2 linked regions of the Mus musculus genome follow. The protein of the gene in region 2 purifies or fractionates together with the protein of the main gene of each other region. This does not show direct contact. Links are inferred from orthologs where the notes say so. Each region holds a gene or a part of one and is shown on either strand. Other genes may lie near its edges.

Region 1 (3,903 bases), on a different chromosome or scaffold from region 2:
TCTTCAAATTCAGGGCATTTTTCAAAACTGAGAGCGTGCTTAATACGTTCCTCCAGGAGAGTGCAACAAACTGGACACTTCAGATTATTTCAAAGGCTGTTCCTGGTTAATAAAATACTCTAAAGCTGCTAGCACTTCAGCGATGGTTTAGATCCAGACAAAAAGTTTGAATCACAATAAAAATGTAACATATGATCAGTCTTTACATTTTTCTTCCTCCATTTATGTCCAATAAAAACCAATGAAACACCTGTCCTGGGTAAGGCAGGCACATTTCACCTTAATCACTAGTTTCTCTAGGTATCCCAACACTGCTACCACTTGGAGCCCCATTGACAGGATCTGTTCAGTCACCACAGAAAATAGAAGTCAACAGAGAAGAACTGATCTCTCACTTGGACTCAGAAATGTTCCCCCTGTTGTTAACCTGCCAAGCTCATCCACAATGCTGGAGCTACGCAGAGGAAGGCCGAGGGTGTTTTCAGTCACTGGGTGACACCTAAACTGTAACAGCTACTTCCGAGTTGTATCTGCCCTCACGAGGAGGTGGGATAGCAGTAACTCACTCAGTCACACCTGTGCCACATGATTTAAAGTCCTCTTCTTACAGATTGTAAGCCAATTTAAAGCACACATTAAGAACTGCTTCCCACTAGAGCCAAGCCTGGAGTTTACCAATTTTCTGGTAAATATTGTTATTTCTGACAATTCCGTTTTCTGGAGAGAAGCTCTGCTGATCTCTAGAACTGTCAACTTCACTCACACATGACTCACAGAAGGAAACCTCTCCTACAAGCCATTTCACTGGGACTCACCAGATTTCCCTTGCCAAGCCCTTCATCTGTCAGAATGAGTGCCCAGCTCTTCTTGAGGCCATCCTCGAGTCACCACAGCACAGAACAAAGTCTGCTGGCTTTAGAGTCGATAGTTGCAGGGAAACTGCGTGGCTATACCACACACAGAATGACAGCCCACTCAAGTTCACATACGTTTGATGGAGAACTATTTCTGAACTATTGCCACTGAAGTTAAGCCAGCAAAAGCCACCAATGGGAAGGGGACCTGACCGTGTGAGTCCTCCCCTTGTAGACATTACCTTTTAGCACTAGTGGATAACTTAGCAGTCGTTTTGCTAGAGAGTTTGGTGTTTTTCTTCTGCTGGGTGGCAGAAGGTTTTCTTTCTTCCTGTTCCTCGGGCTCTGGAGCGGCAGGGTCTCGCTGATCTGCATCTGAACTGCCACTGCTGGTGCTAGGGCTCTCATCATCCGACCTTTGCCTGTCACTGGACATCTTGGTGAACTTATCTCTGGGAAAACTTCTAAGGAGAGAAGAGACCCATGGAGAAACATTAGATCTTTAAAAAAAAATAGCAGCATGCACTTCTCAATAAGCACCTTTGAGAGTATTTTATTGAAAAGGATTCGAAAGTCCCTGTACTTAGGGTGCAGCACGTTACAGGGAATCTGATACGTATCATAATTTATAATGCAGGCGTTGAGGGATTTACCAAAATGCAAGTTGGAAAACCCACTCACATTTTTTTCCCATCCCTTGGACAATCTATCAATTGTCTACTTTCTCAGAAGGCATGAAACAGATTTGCCAGGGAACTTGGGCAACGGGCATTAATAACATATGACAACTGTAAATAACAGATCTCGCCGAGAATGTTCAGAAGTCACTAATACCGTCTAAATATTTACAGGCTGACACCGGTCTGAGCGATCAAATCCTCCTTCCCAGAGGAAAAACATACCCCGTTAGTCGCCCATATGCTTATTTACGGTGACGGGGTCCTCCCGTGCGCACCGAAAGCCTTTGAACACAGCACTCGAATTTAAAAAAAAAAAAAAAATCAACTGGCAGCCGCCCCACAGCCGTCCCCACGGCCGGCGGCGAGGATTCACCGGGCCGAGCCCGAGCTGCCACCCGGGGAAGGGCAGGCTCCAAACTGCACCTTCTGCAAAGCTCCCGGTGCCATCGACGTTCCCCGCTCAATTCCTCCCTCACCGACCGACATTTTGTTATTTTAAAAAAAAAAAAAAAAATCCGCAAAGCGGCCAAAACCCCGAGGGCAAAACAAACAAACAAACAAAAGCCCTCCCCCACCCCCCACCCCCAGAAGTGCAACAAATTGGCGCGGCCCGCCCCGGGGCGAGCACTGGGCCACGCAGCTCCGCGGTCCTTTGTGGGGAGGGCCGCGCAGGGGACCGCGCCACTGCGCCCGCCCGCCGGGGGATGCGGGACCCGCCGCCCCGCGCCGCTGACTGACTAGCGCGGCGGACTGAGGAGCGCGGCGCCCGGCGCGAACAAAGCTGCCGCCCCCGCCCCCGCCGCCCCCCACGCGGGCCCCGGCCCCGCCGCCTTACCTCGGCCGCCCGCCCGGCCCGCTCGTGCGCCGCTACGCTGTGGGGGAGGGAGAGCGCCGAGGAACCTTCCTTGAGGAAATGGAGGCAGCCTGGGGGGGGCACCGGGGGGGCGGGAAAAGAAGCCGCCGCCGAGGCTCCGGCCCGGGAGTGTGGAACATCGAAAGTCGCAGGCGGCCGTGCAGTGCCGCGCTGCGGCCGGAGGGTGGCGCCGCCCCGCGCTCCGGGAGCCACGGTGGGGTGGGCGCTCTGCCGGCCGAAGGCGAAGGCGCAGGGACGCGGGAGCCCCCCGCGCGCTCAGCCTCCCGCCGCTGCGCTCGGCTCGGCTCGGCTCGGCTCCTCCCGGTCGCGCAGTCAGCAAGTTCCGAGCGAGCGGGCGGGCGGGGGAGGGGCGGGCGCGGCGGCGCGCGTGCTCGCTGCTTGCCTGGCGGAGGGGGCGCGAGCGGCTCCCGCGCGCCCCCGCGCGAGCGCGCTCCCGCTGCGCCTTCTTTTTTTTTTTTTTTCCGCCGGGTGGGGGGTGGCGGGCGGGGGGTGGCGGAGGTTGGGGAGCTGGGGGGCGGGGGGGCAGATGCGCACGCGTCCGCCCGCGCGCGGCCGGGACAAAGAGCGCGGCGGGGACCGGCGGGCTGGCCCCTGCGCCCTTGGCCGCCGAGCTCGTACTGGAAGAGGAGGACGAGGAGGCGGGGGCGGGGGCGCGGTCTCGCGGGGCCGCGGGTGGCTTCCGGCCTGAGCCCGCCTCCGGGCCGACGCTGCCCAGTGGACTACCCGCCCCTGAGGTTAGGGGCCGGCGGTTACCCCGGGAATCCCGTACCTGAGCGAGAACCCTGGCGCGTGACTGGGGCTTCCCCGGTGCCCCGAGAGGCAGGCGATGAATGGTGTTATTGAGGAGGCCAGGCACGCAGGCAAAGGAAAGCTGCTTCTGGCCCCTCTGAGCTGAAGGAAGTAGCAAGGTAGAGTCCTGGGCTTCTGAGCGAGGTGAATAGGATTTTGAGACCAGGGGACCTACCTCGGCTAATCTCTGGCTCCCGTCCTGCAATGGCGCTGCCAAAAGGGGACTGCCCTCTGGACGCTTTGGAAACTTACAAAATCCCAAACTGTGTTTTAAATGTCCCGCTCAAGATGTAAAAAGTGGAGTGAGGAAGTTTAGGGGCAATAACCCGATGTGTCTGGCGGCGGGCTCTGCTTTGCGAGAGAGAGAGAGAGAGAGAGAGAGAGAGAGAGAGAGAGAGAGAGAGAGAGAGAGAGAGAGAGAGAGAGAGAGAGACCACTTCTGGATAGAGAAGCCATGGAGGGACTGACTCTATATGACACTGTCCTCATTAAAAGTTTTAGATAGGAATCAGGAAGGTTGCTGGTTTACTCCTGCCTTGCTTTTTGCGGAATCTTCCAAGTGGAGTCCAGTTTTGCCCCAAGCACAAAATAGACAGAAGTCCAGAAACTTCCTGTTTGCCGCTCCTGAGACCATGTTCCAGTGATGGAACCTCGAAGGAATTTGTGCATTCCTCTCTCAAGAGTGTTCAGGGCCAGGGGTCCTGGG
Region 2 (3,825 bases):
CAGGTTGCTACTACTGAGCTAGCTGTACCTCAGCCCTACATAACAGTTAAAGTTTTCATTATCTGCCAACTGCGCAGAGTCAGGAAAGCTCATGACTTCTGGCTTCTCTGGCAACAGGGGAATAACTACGGACACTCACTCCCATGCCTGGCTATTTGTGAGCTACGCTGCTCACAGTTCACCTCTCAGGCAGCTTCACTCTTGGGCTGCTGCTGTAAGGGGTTACCTGTGTGACCACCTGAAGGCCCCACTTGCGAGCAGAGGACATGAACACCTATGATCTTTGGAGGAAGACTGAAGTACACCATTTCTTAACTCTTCAGGCTGCCTACTAAATACTGTTTCATCCCAGGGTCACAGTTCAAGCTCCGCTGCTCCCAGCTTTTGGGCTTACTGGGAAAGAAGCTTGCCTCAGTTTGAGTGATGCAGCAGAGACACACAGAAGAAGCCTGTTCTCCGCAAAGATCAAAGTAGACAGACTACAGGACAGGTCTCTGTGACCAATCTACCCATCCCAACACCAGCAAGTTTGGCCCCTGGCAGGCTACTGAGTTGTCAGTGCCCGCCCAGCCTGCACCTGGTCCCACCTGAGCATCACCTACCTCAACCTTACAGCCACCCTACAGGCAGATGCTTTCACTGTCCCTATTTTACAGATGAGGACACCCAGGGCTCAGAGACACTGAAGGACCTGTCAAGAAGACAGCTGCTGAGTGGTAATCTGATATGAATGAGGTCTCAGTCCAGAGGCCACACTTCAAGAACTAGCAATAGGAGGTGTGTCCCCGCCCAACACCCGACCCTCTCAGACATTAGGCCTGACAAGAAGCAGGGCTGAAACAGGCTCCCTCCTGCCCCTCTGGCCAGGATCCCACCTTGATCTTCTGTTGGTAGATGTTGTCATCCTCAGCATACTCCTTGTACAGGACTGAGAGTTCCAGCCGCTCTGACACCAGAGGATTCTGCACAGCAATCTGCAGGGAGGCAGGAGACTGAGGAAGCCACGCCTAACACCTACAAACGGGGTGGTGGCCATCCAGCAGCACAGCAACCCCACAAAAGCATAGAGTGCCTAAAGTAGACTCAGAGACTTGAGAGACTCGAGAGGGGAGGGCTTCAAAACAGACACTAGGTCTCAGGCCCTGACTATGCATCCCCACCACAAAGCCCTCAGCTACTCCCTCCCCAACTTTCTTCGGCACCTCACCTCTTGCTGAATTCGGTCCTGCTGAGCCATAATGGCTTCATCATAGGCCAAACAGTTAACACCTAGAAAAAGGAGAAAAAAGAAGTGCCAACCAAGGGTTCCTATGGGGTCTGGCTATCTCTATGGCAGGCAGCTTTGGCAGAACAGGTCTGGAATCTGGAACCCTATGCCTTACACCCCACTGTGTATTCTTAGCAAAGTTCTTCCTTCTTTGAGTTCTCATTTCCTCATCTTTTGGAGAAAGTAGCTAAGTGTGGTGTCATTTGGGAGGCTGAGGCAGGAAGACCACAAGTCTATATAGCTAATCTCTAAAAAAATAAAAGTAAACAAGGGAGCAATTACAGACCAGAGCAGGATTAAGAAGCCTAGGAGTTAGAGATCAGCTCTGGAAATATAGCAAGCCTTTATCTTGGAAGAAAAAAAAAATAGGGCTGGGCTTGAGACCCAGTGGTAAAGATATATTTGTCCTGCAGGTGTGAAGCCCTAGCAACCTCAAGAAATAAGTAAATATAAATATAAATAAATAAGTAAAATGACAAGTAAAGATCACCCCCAAAGCTCTCTTGCAGCCCCGATATTCCTTCCTCCCTGCCTTCTAAAAGCACTGTGTAGCATCTAGGGAATGCTCTGGGGAAGGGAGCTCTGGGAGAAAGCAGGATGAAGGGGTGGAGCCCTAGGAAGAATGAGTGCATCCTGTAAGCATGCACTTTACTGAGACACGCCCTTTGTCCTTCTGTGGTCCCCTGTATTGTTCATTTTCCAAATTAAAAAACAAAAAACAAAAACCAGAGGTAACTCCATCTTGTCCAAGGTCAAGTCCACATTTGTAAAATTCCAGTCTGAGCTCTTGGACATGTCACTTGCCAAAGTCCTCTCCCCTCACCTCTAGAATGGATTAATGCCATCACCTTGCTCCCATCATCAAAATATGCTGGGATCCTGCCAGCAGCAACTACTACCTAAGCACTCTCTAGAGTCATCCACGGATTCGGGACGTTCGTTCTGAGGACTCTAAGCAGCTATTGTAGGAGTTTCTAGTCTTGGATCCTTCTTAGATGTGATGGAGAACAATTTCTTTCTGCGTATCTGGGTTTCCTAGTCCTCAACCTCTAGAATATAGTGTGGAGTTAGAGTAGGGTGTGCGAGTATGACTGGCTTTTTAAAGCCAATCCTTTGGGGCCTGGTTATCCTAGGTTCTCAGCTGAGCTTCCCACCATGTCCTACAACAGGACTGTCCCTCCCACTCAACAGACTTACTCAACCCCTAGAGCTCAAGTTCTCGGGAGACAGGGAGAAGGTGTGACTGGTTTCTGTCTTTTTTTAAAGACCAAGAATCTAGGAAAACAATGCCTGGATCCGCTCAAAGGTGCTGTAAGGCCAGCACAAGCTCTAAGGCAAAGAGCCGCCAATGGCATCCCGAACGGCCCAGCAGGGACTTCGTCCTTGGAAGCCCGGCGTTCCTCAACGCCTTTCAGCAGCTCGGCCCCGGCCTAGGCCTCGGCTTGACTGCTAGGTCTCCGGCGGGCTGACTGTGGGAGCCGGCCGAGGCCACGGGACCGGCGGAGGCGGGGCGGCCCAGGCCCCGCCCCAGGCGTGCGCGAGAGGCCGAGCCCCGGCCCCGGCCGCCCCGCCCGGCCGGGGGTCGCCGCGGCCCTGCTTCCATTGTGAGGGGGAGGGGAGGAGACGCGGGGAAGGGCTCGGTCGCACGCTGCGCCTACTCCCCAGGGCCCTGACTCCCCGAGTTCCTCGGGAACGGCGGGCCGTGGATTGCCCCCGCTAGCCCGGGAAGGACATCCTTCCCTCCGTTCGTACCTTCGGAGTCGCTACCCAGTGGCTCCTGCTTCTGCTGCTGAGGTTCCTCCGCCGCCATCTTTAAACAGCGCCGCACTGGCGATCGCTTCCGGGTTATTAATTGCCCTCCTCCCGGAAGGGAGCCCCTCCTTGTGGCCCCTCCTTCGCAACGCCCCTAGCAACAGGCTCCCTTTGGCAGTCGTCAGGGCCTGGGCTGCTCCTGCTGCCCTGGAGAGCTTGGGGGGACGCCACGCGCGCTTCCACATTCCACTTTCCCAAAGGTCCTGCGGGGCTAAGGACCTCCTCGAGTCATTTCTGTTTTCTGTATACTGAAGTTTGAAACGCAGGTTGTGTAACTAAGATAAGGAACAAGATGGAATTAAAGTCACTAGAAGGTTAATCCCAGCTGCGCGTACTTTCAAGGTACAGGACGGTAGCTGCAGTGCGGAGCGCAGAGCCACCTCGAGACAGGAAGTGGTGACAACCTCCTGACGCCCTTCGGAGCCTTCGCGGCCTCTCGCCTCTCACCACTGAGCCTGTTCTCTAAAGCTGTAAAGACCTGTTTCCAGCACGGGGAGCATCTTCCCTTGATACCAAAACCAAAACCCTCGACCTAACTTTAGGCTATATGTCCTCGTATTTGAGAAAGCAGAGCCACTTAAAAGCAAGAATTTGAGTCCATAATCCGAACATGTGAAAGGTGGAGAAAGAATGGAGGATCCGGCGTTCAAGGTAATCGTGGAGTTTCAGGCAAGGCTTGGCTACAAGAGACCCTGTCTCAAACAGACCAGACCAAACCAAACAAAACCTGAGCCAAAAAGTGGCCA

Evidence for each region.
Region 1: the proteins of Otub1 (region 2) and Ube2e3 purify together in Homo sapiens (affinity purification with mass spectrometry; 3 studies listed by BioGRID and IntAct, counting the BioPlex papers as one, with this or other methods). This does not show direct contact. The link is inferred for Mus musculus from reciprocal best matches to the Homo sapiens genes OTUB1 and UBE2E3.

What each region holds. Positions count from the first base shown.
Region 1 is NC_000068.7:78,867,872-78,871,774, reverse strand, and holds the start of Ube2e3 (ubiquitin-conjugating enzyme E2 E3), read right to left. Parts: upstream 2,729-3,903; 5' UTR 2,370-2,728; intron 2,098-2,369; exon of another isoform or gene 1,757-2,097; intron 1,319-1,756; 5' UTR 1,291-1,318; coding exon 1,097-1,290; intron 1-1,096. UniProt on the Homo sapiens protein: Accepts ubiquitin from the E1 complex and catalyzes its covalent attachment to other proteins. In vitro catalyzes 'Lys-11'- and 'Lys-48'-, as well as 'Lys-63'-linked polyubiquitination.
Region 2 is NC_000085.6:7,203,183-7,207,007, forward strand, and holds the start of Otub1 (ubiquitin thioesterase OTUB1), read right to left. Parts: upstream 3,103-3,825; 5' UTR 3,078-3,102; coding exon 3,020-3,077; intron 1,270-3,019; coding exon 1,208-1,269; intron 975-1,207; coding exon 876-974; intron 1-875. UniProt on the Homo sapiens protein: Hydrolase that can specifically remove 'Lys-48'-linked conjugated ubiquitin from proteins and plays an important regulatory role at the level of protein turnover by preventing degradation.